Sus scrofa: one gene and its partners. The protein of the gene in region 2 interacts with the protein of the main gene of each other region in a biochemical or structural test. Links are inferred from orthologs where the notes say so. Each region holds a gene or a part of one and is shown on either strand. Other genes may lie near its edges. The genes, in order: UBE2G2, MARCH6 and UBE2J2.

Region 1 (3,999 bases), on a different chromosome or scaffold from region 2:
TAAAAAGCAAAGCAAAAAAAAAAAAAAAAAAAAAAAAAAGTAAGATGAAAAACAAACAAGAACGAAATGCTTGTAACGCACATAACCGACCAAAGACGAGGAAGTGAAAAGGAGCAGGGAACTGACAGAGAACTCCTACGCCCCAACAAGAGCAGACCACCCCGCAGAAATGGGCGCAAAGGCACGGACGGACCTTCCACCAAGGGAGAACCACGGACTGCCTCCAACCACGAGGGGACGGGCCCCTCGACTCTCTCGTCGGGCCCTCCGAATGACAGCGCACCGGCGGGGCACTGACCCTGCTGCGGCGGCGAGCAGCCCGAGGGAGCGCTGTGCGGGAACACCATGCGGGGACACGCGGGGAGCCACTTCCAGAGAGCTGACCCGGGGGCACCGGCGCTGCGTCACAGCCAGGTCCACGCTGGGCCCAGGCGCCAGAAATGCCCACGGCAACCGACGTGCAGCGTAAGCTACAGGCCCGGCAGTAACGTTCACAGAATGCGACGGCTCTGGGCAGTGAGAAGAGCCGTGTGCTCAGCGTGAAGGACTTGCGGGAACAGCGCTGAGCCGAGGTTCAATCTGCAGAGGCGGGTGCGGACCCCACTTCCACTCAGGGTAAAACAGGCAGAGAGCGTGCCTGCTGTGAGGAGGACGTGACGTGACAGGCCTCCAGAGAAAGGGAAGAGGATGCACAGCAGTCCCGCGGTGCCCCGGGGGCAGCACCCGCCCAGTGCTGCTCAGGTCCTGCTTCTTAAGCTGCTGTCACAGGAGCAGAGGGTCCCTTGACGACTGCGTGTCAACGTACACCTTTTGTTTCTGTCTTTTTAGGGCCGCACCTGCGCCTATGGAAGTTCCTAGGCTAGGGGTTGAATCAGAGCTATAGCTGCCAGCAGTTCCCGTCGTGGCTCAGTGGTTAACGAATCCGACTAGAAACCATGAGGTGGCGGGTTCGAGCCCTGGTCTCGCTCAGTGAGTTGAGGATCTGGCCTTGCTGTGAGCTGCAGTGTAGGTCGCAGGCGCGGCTCGGATTCTGTGTTGCTGAGGCTGTGGTGTAGGCTGGCGGCTACAGCTCCTATTAGACCTCCATATGCCACGGGTGCAGCCCTAAAAAGACAAAAAAAAAAAAAAAGAGTTACATTTGCCTGTTAGTGACAGGAAGGATGACAGAAACGGGAAGGACAGGCCAAGTCTGGGGGTTCAGAGAGGGCGAGGAAGTGGCAGCAACACCGTCCGTGGGGCTGGAGAAATGTGCCAGGGTGGAGGAGTTGGGGATCTCACAGAGGCAGACGGGCCAGAGCACAGAGCATCTGCGGGGTCCCTGCAAGGGCTTCCGGGCAGAGTGACACGATGCGACCGTGTGGCGCAGAGAAGCAGTGGGCGCAGGAGCAGAGGCATCTGCGCTGCAGTTCCCCGGGCCGGAGGCTGGCTTGGACTCAAATCAACAGATTACGTGTGGCACAAGCACGTCTCCCAGTCAAACACCAGGCGGGAAGAGGAAGGCCGTGGGTGCCGCCACCCAGAGGGAAAGACGGTGGGGCGACAGTGGGGCAGGAGCCCCAACTTCAGAGGAGGCCAGATGGTGAGCGTCACTCACACGTTTATTTTGGAGGGCCCGCCTCTGCAACACTGCGGTCTGCTCAGGCCAAACACCAATGCTCCCTGCACAGCGCCTCTGGGAAGGCTTAGGAAACCGAGACACCTGCACAGTACTGTTAGCTTTGCTGCACCCATTGTCGACGCTCATTTTCCAGTTTCTCCCGAAAGTGTCCTCGGTGTAACGGTAACAGCCACAGCTAAGACCAGGGACAGCCACCCAGCAGGTACCTGGGAAGCACTCCTCTGCACGGGTGAGGGCAAGGGCGGAGGCCAAGGTCAGAGAATTAATAAGCAGAGGCAGGTCTGAGCCGCCGGCGGGCTCCCGCCCTGTGTGAGGCCAAGCAGAACACTTTCAAACCCGAGCGCAGCCAGGGCTGGCCTCTCCCCGCGACTCCTCCCGGGAGCCTCTGCTGCAGAAGGGGGTCTGCGCAAGGCTGCCGGTTCTCGCTTCTCCCGCTGCGCTCCCCAACGGTGAGGAAAGGTGCTGCCTAAGGAGGCACGAGGGTTTTCCCAACACTACCCAGGAAGGATGGCAGGTGGCCTTGCTCAAAAACGGCTCCCTTTGTGACGGAAAACTCAAATCTGACTTTTCACCTCAAACTCATCACACTGCGCTTTTCTCTTAACGTTTCTTTGCTAACTTCTCGATAGGCCACTTGGGCGTCCCCTCTCCGGCCACCGCACGTTCACGAGGCCGGAAAGAGAGAGTCACTCAAAGAGCCAGAGACGGAAACGAACGAGCCCGGACTGGGCGCAACCATCCGGGCTTCCCGTCCAGCGCGGCGCCGCGCCGGCCGATCCTGCAGGTCCGAGGTTCGCAGGGGCCGCCGGTGCCCGGACAAAACCCGCCCCGACGGCGCACAGACGAGCCCGTCCCGGGGGTGGGCGGAGCGCGCGCTACACCACGGCCGCGGGGCCGCCGCGAGCAGCAGGGAAGGGGGGGCGCCGGGACCCGGGGGAGCGGGGCGCGGGGGTCGAGGGGGGCGTGGGCCGCCGCGAGCAGCTGAGGGCGGTGTGCAGGGACCCGGGAAGGAAGGGGGCGCCGGGCCGGGCGGCGGAGGAGAGGGCCGTCCCGGGAGACCGGGCGCGCGGGCCCCGAACTCACGTTTGTACTCGGCCATCAGCCTCTTGAGGGCCGTCCCCGCCATCGTCAGGGTAACAGCTGTGCCGTCGGCCTCTCCTCCTCAGCGCTCGTCCCTCCCACCCAGCGCCGGGACCGCTTCCGGGGCACCGGAGCCCTTCCGGGGCGCGGGGCGCGTGCGCGGCGGGAAGGGCGGGGCGCGCGCGCGGCGGGGAGGCGCGGGGCGCGTGCGCGGCGGGGAGGCGCGGGGCGGGCGCGGACTCCGGGGCCCGCCCTCGACCGCAGCCCGAATCCTGGCTCTGAGTACCTGGAGGGGAGGCTCCACAAGGTTTCGGCGCAGCGGCGCCCGGCCGAGTGTGCGAACTGCCTGCTCCGTCCTCGTGGCCTCAGGGCGGTCCCGACGGCGGGGAGGGGGCAGGAGGGTGGAGGGCAGAGGGTGGGGGACGGCGCGGGCGGGCGGCGGCCGGCCCGCTGGAAGAGTGGGGTTCACATGGCTTACTTGCTGAAAGTACCAGGAGAAGGGGAAGAAAGAAGATACCGCCAGTCCGGTGGGCTACAATGCACACGCTGGCACATGGACCGTATCGGGGCTCGCTCGCTGCCCCACCCCTGTGTCATTCAGAGGAGGTGACTTTGAGGCCCAAATGCAGTTAAAACGAGAAGGTCCATGGAAGACCTTTGGTGCCCCTGTGGCTACCCTCACGGTTTTAGGTTTTAAGTGAGAAGATTGGCGATTGGGGTGGCCTTATTCCGTGTCGGTGTTTCTGGATTCAGCTTGGCCAAGAGAGGAGCTTTGGGAGACAGGAGGGAGCAAAGCAGCAGCCCGACAGCCCCGACCTCCACCACAACAGCCGGCTGACCAGCAGGACCGGGGGCAGCGCGTCCAGACTTGCCCACGGCCCCGTTGACAGTCCCCGGACCACTGCTTCAGGAGGCCGACAAGGGTGGTCGTCCCCCTCCAGCTGCCCCTCACCCGGCCCCAGGCTCCCTGAGGCTCCGGCTTCCCCAGCTGGGTAATGTGCATCCAGGTGACTACACTAGGGTGTCCTTTTCTCGTAGTGTTCGCGGAGGTTCTACTGGTCGCCCCACTGTCTCTGGGCAATCTGTCGATGCTTCTTAGAATCCCCCTTACTTTAGAAAAAGTCGGCACTCTTAGTGCTTGGTAGCTTTGCCATGCAAGGATATGTAAACCTTTTTAAAAAGTGAAGTCTTGGAGTTCCCATTGTGGCGCAGCGCCAACGAATCCCACTAGGAACCATAAGGTTGTAGGTTCGATCCCTGGCCTTGCTCAGTGGGCTAAAGGTCCGGCATTGCCGTGAGCT
Region 2 (4,274 bases):
CCATGGTGACTCAGTGGAAACAAATCTGACTAGTATCCATGAGGACACAGGTTTGATCCCTGGCCTCCCTATGTGGGTTAAGGATCCGGTGTTGCCATGGGCTGTGGTGTAGGTCGCATCCTGCATTGTTGCGGCTGTGGTGTAGGCCGGCAGCTACAACTCTGATTTGACCCTTAGCCTGGGAACCTCCACATGCTGTGGATGCGGCCCTAAAAAGACAAAACAAAACAAAAAAATTACATATATGATTCTTCTTACAAAGGAAGCAACAAAAACATAATTATCTCAACATCGGATACTGGGTATCCACTTACAAATATCTAATTTAACCACGGAGTCTGACAGAACTGAGTCTGAATCTCACCTTTGACATGTTACCTGCATGACTTTGGGCAAGTTACTTAATCATACTAACCCTTACTTTCTTCCATCTGTAAAAAAGGGAATGCTGTGTACCTAAAAGTGTTACGAGAATTAAATGAGATGTCTATGAAGTATTTAGTGAAGTACATGCCCTATATTAAGTCCTCAGTAAATTTTAGTTATTTCAAGAACAGCATTCAAGACAGTAAATATCATTTATACCTCACCCTTATTATAACTTTACAAGGAAAAAAACAGTGCACTAGAAGCACATAGAAAATATTTCTTTCAGGAGTTCCCTGTGGCTCAGCGGGTTAAGGACCCTGTGTTGTCACTGCAGCAGCTTAGGTTGCTACTGTTGCACCACTTTGACCCCTGGCCTGTGAACTTCCATATGCTGTGGTCAAAGACAAAAAAAATATATTTCTTTCATCATGATTCCACATAAACTTTCAGATTCTACAATTCCTGAATTACCACTATCACACCACACATTTAGTATGCAAACACTAAGTGCACAGGCTTAAAGAATGGGAGGAAAACATGCCAGTACATTATCAAGTGGTAAATAAACACAAGCCTTACTAAATTGAGTCATTAAAATCTGAATCCAGAAGTATGTGAAATCTATGGAGACGGAAATTTACACACAAGAATCATCTATCAAAAGAAGATAATTCCTAATAACCTCCTCAGCAGTGTCACTTGACTGTTTTTTTCCAAAGGAGTCGCCGGTGGTTATTACTTCACTCACTGTATATAATAAAAAAACTAAGACATAATGAAAACTATTTGTAATGAGAAGGCCTAGGTTCATATCTGTCTCTTAACTAGCATGTGAAGCTTAGACAAGTTATTTAAATAACTAAGCTTGGGAGTTCCCAGGAAGCTCAGCGGTTAAGGATCTGGCTTGTCACTGTTGAAGAAAGAAAGAAGCCAGCCAGCCTGAACTTCCGCATCTATAATACCCCCCGCGCTACTCCACGGGGCTCTTACTAAGATCAAATGTGAAGGCATGTAAATATGCTTTGTAAACTCAAGTATAACATGCGGCTACAGTTTGAAGTTCTTACTAAGACTTCTTTAAAAAATAATAAATTGTCTCCACTCATTACACATACAGTATCAAACTTCCTGTCACTCATTATTGCACGCCACAACAGTCCTCAAAGATCCTCATTTAAAATCACCAAAATCCATACGGTTGAAAGGTGCTTATCAGACAGCTACATAATATACCCGAAGCAGAAAGGTATCTTATCTTCACTGACATCCTACACATCAAGCATCAGGAGAGTAATTTCCTCTATGGACTCAGTAAAATTATTCGATAGACTCTAAAAAGATAAAACTGCTTAAAAAACAACCTAATTACCGTCAGCGGATAAGCAAATGCATTTCAATAGTCACAACTGTTCAGTTATGTATCCACGTATGTATTCAGTTTACAAGAGTCAGCTTGATCCAAAACAGCCACATCCAAAACACACACACACTCAACCAAGCAACACACGCACAAAACTCGGCTTATTGGTGTCAGGGATTAAGCACAAAATAAATCACACTGAAACAAAGGAATTCTACAGAGCACCCCTTCTGCGAATAACCCCGTTGGGCCTGCCTCGTCCCCGTTTAGTAAACAAATAATTCGGGACTCGCAAGCAGAGGATAAGGTTTTTAAATAGGGGTCAGTTGATTCCACTCAGCCGTCACCTGGCGGGGTATTTTTCGCTAAGTTTGAGTCAACAAAGAAGTTCTGCCGTGAAAGGGTCGGGCCCGCAGAGCTACGGGCAAAACGATATAAAGAAAGACAAAACCGAGTGGGGGAAGGGTGTGGAAAACGCCCCCAGACTCTGAGCGGCGACGACAGCGTCGTCCCCCGGGGCTGGCGGGACGGAGGGGTGGGGAGTCTCACCGGCCGCGGCCACCGCAGCCCCGACGCCCCCCGGCCCGGGCAGGGGCCCTGCCCTCCACGCGCGCGGGCGGGAAACGGCGGGGGGCGCCGAGGGGTCACCTTCTGTCCCCGCCGCCCCTCGCGCCGGGCTGCTCGGCGGGCAAACGGCCCGGGCGCCGGTCCCCCGCTGTCACCGCGCGCCTCCGCCCCGAGCCGAGGTGCCCCCAGCGCCGCCCGGGCCCCGCGGCCCGCCTGGAGCGCCGCAGACTGGGCGCGGGCCCAGCCCGAACCCGGGCGCGGGAGAAAGGGCGCGGGCGCCGCCGACTTACCTTCCTCGGCGGTGTCCATCTTGTCTGAGGGGGCGGCGGTGACGCAGCCGCGAAGCTCCTGTGGCCGAGGCCGGAGCCTTCCGGCCGGGGCGGGGAAAAAGGGAGGGGGAGGAGGGAGGAGGGAGCGGAGCCGGGCCCGGGCAGGTGTTTGTGCTCAGGTGCGAGAGAGGAAGCTAGAGGAAGGAGAGAGGGGAAGAGGGAGAGGGAGAGAGGCTGACAGAAAGCGGGCGACAGAGGGGAGGGGGAGGGTCGGGGAGAGCAGAGGGGCGAGGCCTGGGCGGGGCATGGAGGCGGAAGGGGCGGAGCGCCCCCAACGACAGGTGCCGTCATTTCCGGCCGCGGCGGAGGCGCGCACGCTCAGTGCGCGGTACCCGTGGGGGGCCATCCCGGCCCGGCCCGAGCAGCTGGTGGCCGCCGTCGTGGGCATTGGGCCTCCTGGACCTTGTCCTGAGGGTTGCGCGGGGCAGCGAGGCTGAAACCTTAGTAGGAGTTGAACTCTAATAACACTGAGGGAAGCAACAAAGAAGACACAACACGATGGAAGTGAGCAGCGTGAGCCAGCGCCTGACAGCGAGGCGGCTAGCCCAGCGCAGGCCGGGCGGCGGTGCAGGACAAAGACGGGTCCCAGGGCTGAAGAACTGTTACCTGGGACTTGTGAAATACGAGTTCTGCGCTATCGCGCCCGGAGATTCCGGTGCCGCGTGTCTGGAGCTGGCCCAGGAATATGCATTTTTGTTCTGCACGCGGGCAGTTCTGATGCATGTTTTGAGGAAGTACTAGAATGCCAATAAAATTAAAAAGTCAGAGTTCCCGACGTCACTCAGTGGTTAATGAACCCAACTAGTAACCATGACGTTGGGGATTCGATCCCTGGCCTGGCTGAGTGGGTTAAGATCTGGCTTTGCCTTGAGCTGTGGTGTAGGTTGCAGTCGAGGCTCTGATTTCCTTTGGCTGTGGCGTAGGCCGGCAGCTAGAGTTTCCATTGGACCCCTAGTCTGGGAATCTCCGTATGCCACGGCTGCAGCCCTAAAAAGACAAAAGACAAAAAGGAAGTAAAATGAAAAAGTCAGGCCCTATCATTACCATAGTTCTGCATTTGACTGGAAGAACTACAATAAACTGCTTAGGTTGGAGGTTGAAACAAACACCCTTCTCTAGGGGAAATCTGTTCAGATAGGGACAGAACTTGGTATACTGGGTTATGGACACTTAACCTGGCCAGGGCTAAATTGCTTCAGCCTTATGAAAGACTGAGCACGTTCTTTCAGTACACCACTTTTCCTCACCAAAGAATTATTTAGAAATTATTTAGAATTATTTAGAATTATTTAGAAATTATTTAGAACTATTTAGAAATTACTGATGAGAAAGGCCACCACCTTAGAATTACCTAAGTAGAACTAAAGATGTCTCTAATCCCAAGAAAATATATTTTAAACAATATGCAGATAAATTGCAGAAATAGATGCAAGAATGCTAGCCATCTCTTTTCTATCCGTGTGAGGAAAGGAATTGGGAAAATCTCCCACCTCTGAACTTCCTCAATCAGAATGAAACTGAGAATGAAAATAATGAAGTAGAATCCTTCAGAAAGAGAGCAGCCCTTGAAGACTAATGTCACTGATTTGACCAATGTCACTCATGGTACCCAAGACAGGAAGGAATTCAAGTTCTTGACACAATAATGG
Region 3 (3,549 bases), on a different chromosome or scaffold from region 2:
GGCCAGGTCTGTTGATGTGATTTTTTTATTTTTTATTTTTAGGGCCACACCCGCTGCATATCGAGGTTCCCAGGCTGGGGGTCGAATCAGAGCTGCAGCTGCCCGCCTACACCACAGCCACAGCAACACAGGATCCTTACCCCCTGAGGGAGGCCAGGGATCAAACTTGCGTCCTCATGGTTACCAGTCAGGTTCACTGCCGGTGAGCCAAGATGGCACCTCCCAAGGCCAGGATTTTAGGGCCCAACCAAAACCAGACATTCATTAGGCAAACTGAGGGATAAACCCTACCAGCAAGGCAGCACCAAAGCTCTGCAGTCTCTCGTGCTGCTGGTGCGCTAACAGCTGCTCTGAAACAGGATCAGAGGCTGTGTCTCCCAAGTTCCCCACAAAGTACTTTCCTATCCGCAAACAACACGCCAAAAGCTAATCCTCTAAAACCATCCATGTCAACTGAAAATTTAACACTTTTTAACTCCACAATTCATTCTTGAGATAAATTTCAAAGCTGGCACCTGTGAGAGTTCCCTCCATGGCTCAGCGGTTAAAGAACCCGACTAGTATCCAGGAGGATGCAGGTTCGATTCCTGGCCTCGCTCTGTGGTTGAAGGATCCGGCGTTGCTGTGGCTGTGATGTAGGCTGGCGGCTACAGCTCCGATTCAACCCCTAGCCTGGGAACCTCCATATGCTGCAGGTGCGGCCCTAAAAAGAGAAAAGAAAAAAAAAAAAAAAAAAAAAAAAATTGGTATTTTTCAGTGCGTCCAAATGTCACAGTAGCTAAACCCGGAACAGCTGGAGCCTGGGGAAGAGCCAGCAGGAGGGACAAGGGCAGCTTGGGACTGTTGCCAAAGTCCTCACGCAGAGGGAGCCTCGGACCTGGAGCAGCCATCCAGGGACTCTGTTCCTCTGCACAAAGGCAGGCAGCTGCGGCTCTACGTTAACAAGCGTTTAGCTCACAGGTTTTCAAAAAAAACAGAAAAGCACAAAGGAGACGGTAGACCCAACAGAAACACCAGACTAGATACCACTGCACACACGCTGGTACCCACCCCTCCAGACGCCGCCTCCCACCGGGTACTCTGACAACCTGCTGGCTGACCTGCGGGCTCACACCCCCGACTCAAAAAAGGCCGCCATCCTGGAAGGCAGATCAGGAACGCAGGGCCTCCAGTGGCTCCTGCTCCCGACTCCTGTACTCGATCTGAGGCCACGGGGAAGGGCCCAGGTGGCAGCATAAAGAGCACCTGGAGGACGGGCCTCTTCCAGAAAAGGCTCTCTTCTCCCAGCTGAGGAAACAGACCCTGCTGGGAGCAGAAGAGCCCACACAGCAGGCCCAACACTGCTGTCCTGGGCCGGCAGCTGAGAACTGGACTGGGGTGGGGTGGGGGGGCATCTCCCCAGCCCAACTGCACCTAAACTGCGTCTGCAAACAACGTGCTTCAGGCTGAAAAGCAGTCCGCTTTCCTGCCGGAAGTCTGCAACTGCAGGCCCTGGTGCTGGGTCCAGGAGGGCGTCCTCGGCGGACCGCACGGCCTGTGTGGTGGCAGCTTGCTGCATGGGAGGGAAGCCTGGGCCAGTCTTTAGGACTCTGCCTGCACCTCTTCCCGGCGCCGCCTCCTGTCTCTTCGCTATGCTCGTTACAGAACCTCCGCAGTGGGTCCTCCTGGCCAGTGACCTGGGACCTGAGTCAAGGCAGGAGAGGGTCCCCTCGACTGACAGAGGGGGACCCTTGGCTGCCATAGAGCCTGTCCCTCTATCTACCAACTGTGCCCCAGGGGCCACACTCGGCTTCTGCTGGGGGGGGGGGCTCTGCTGCATCTGCTGCAGCACTGATGCCTCTCCAACAACCTCGAGCCGCATCGGCCCCTCCGGAAGCTGAGGAAGGCAGACCCAGAATCCCCGACCCCCTGTCCAGCCTGGTGTTGAGGCCTAGATTTTACTCAGCTGCATCTCTCTTCTCCGGATCTCAAAGGACTTATTAAGATGAAAACATAAAACACCCTCCAACCCAAGAGAACGTGCTCCCACTCAGCTCAGCTCTCCGTCCTGCTTCTCACAAGATCACCAGCAAAGCCCGACAGGGCAGCTGTACCATGGCCCAAGAGCTGCTCCGAACCGCATGGTCACAAGGCGGAGATGGGCCCGGAGACAGGAGCTGCGGGAGCAGGACCCTCTGCTGTGAGCTCGCTAAGGCAGGACAGCCCACCGCACGGTCCCGAGAAGCAAAGAGCAGAGGAGCGGCCAGCAGCTTCTCCAGCTGGGAGATCTGCAGGCCCCCAAGCCTCCCCAGGCAAGGACCCTCTCCAGCCCAGCGGGCAGGGGCAGGGGCAGCCCTGCCACGCCCCCGGCAGCTGCCCACGGTGCAGATGACCCGAGTGTCCACGGGCCTCACAGCCCACTCCCACCCGACGAGGGTGCCGAGCCCCTTGCCCGCACCCAGGGGCGGCGAGAGGGACACGGAACTCACCACTCCAGAATGTTGGAGGGTAGGGGCTCAGCACAGATGTAAGGCACGGGGTCTTTCTTAATTCGGAGATAGTCTTGCTTCAGTCGCTGGGTGGCGGTTGTCGGCGCTCTCTTACCACTGCTGCTGCTCATCTGCAGAAAACCAACCCCCGTGCTGACCAGGGATGGAGGCGGCCGGGCTGCTCTCCACCCCGCAGCTCAGCACCCCCACCCCTGCTGGCACCTCTGCACCCACGGCCCTGCCACGACCTTCGCTGACACAACGCAGTCAGACCCGGAGGTTAGGAAACACCCAACAGCCTCACTCCCATCTTCAAGGAACCGACACAGGGAGAAAGACACCCATTTCTAAGGGTCCCGGGCAGAGGTGTGAAGCCAGCCCGGACCGCCAGTCACAGGCACGTTTCTCCAGCACTGCGCTGGAAGGTGCCCGCCAGGGGGCCGCTGACACCACAGAAACCAGCCCCCAAAAGGCCCTGGTTAAACATCTTCCAGCACGCTTAGCACTGGCCACAGGTGGGCGGGGGACAGAGAAAGAGCCTCTCTCTGAGCCTGGAGAGGGGAGATCCTGGAGAGACGGGGACACCGCGCTAGGCAGAGGGGGAAGGAGCGCCTTCCAGGGAGAGGGAGCGACAGGTGCACAAGCAGAGGCCAAGGCAGGGCACTGTGTCCAGGGACCAGCCCTGGGTCACTGCGTCAGAAGCCAAAGCATGGTGAACAGTGGCTGACAAGCCTGGCCAGGGACACGAGGCCAGGCCAGGCCATCAAGCAGTGCCCCAGAAAGACTACAGGCCTGGTCTTCCAGCCAGTCAGATCTTCTGTCAGGAAGGTCCCTCTGGTGGCCCAACACATGGCAGATGGGATGGCATGGGAGGGACAGGATGAGACAGGAGAGCACTGAAGGTTGGGGACAGGGAGCGAGGGAGCAGCCGTCAGTCACGAGAAGGGACGAGCCTGCATGGGGAACCCTGGGACATCCCAGCTATGCTCCAGGGGCGGGGGGGGGCATGGAAGACAGGGCTCCCCTCTCTCAAAGGCCCCAGAACAGCTCCAACCCAATCTGTGTAACATACCAGAACCGC

Evidence for each region.
Region 1: the proteins of MARCH6 (region 2) and UBE2G2 form a complex in vitro, tested with the Homo sapiens proteins (2 studies listed by BioGRID). The link is inferred for Sus scrofa from reciprocal best matches to the Homo sapiens genes MARCHF6 and UBE2G2.
Region 3: the proteins of MARCH6 (region 2) and UBE2J2 form a complex in vitro, tested with the Homo sapiens proteins (2 studies listed by BioGRID, with this or other methods). The link is inferred for Sus scrofa from reciprocal best matches to the Homo sapiens genes MARCHF6 and UBE2J2.

Annotation. Positions count from the first base shown.
Region 1 is NC_010455.5:207,468,986-207,472,984, forward strand, and holds the start of UBE2G2 (ubiquitin-conjugating enzyme E2 G2), read right to left. Parts: upstream 2,842-3,999; 5' UTR 2,745-2,841; coding exon 2,702-2,744; intron 1-2,701. UniProt on the Homo sapiens protein: Accepts ubiquitin from the E1 complex and catalyzes its covalent attachment to other proteins. In vitro catalyzes 'Lys-48'-linked polyubiquitination. Involved in endoplasmic reticulum-associated degradation (ERAD).
Region 2 is NC_010458.4:72,125,028-72,129,301, forward strand, and holds the start of MARCH6 (E3 ubiquitin-protein ligase MARCH6), read right to left. Parts: upstream 2,843-4,274; 5' UTR 2,606-2,842; coding exon 2,587-2,605; intron 1-2,586. UniProt on the Homo sapiens protein: Endoplasmic reticulum membrane-associated E3 ubiquitin ligase that plays a critical role in mitigating endoplasmic reticulum stress, the regulation of cholesterol and lipid homeostasis, and ferroptosis.
Region 3 is NC_010448.4:63,561,542-63,565,090, forward strand, and holds part of UBE2J2 (ubiquitin-conjugating enzyme E2 J2), read right to left. Parts: intron 2,600-3,549; coding exon 2,469-2,599; intron 1-2,468. UniProt on the Homo sapiens protein: Catalyzes the covalent attachment of ubiquitin to other proteins. Seems to function in the selective degradation of misfolded membrane proteins from the endoplasmic reticulum (ERAD).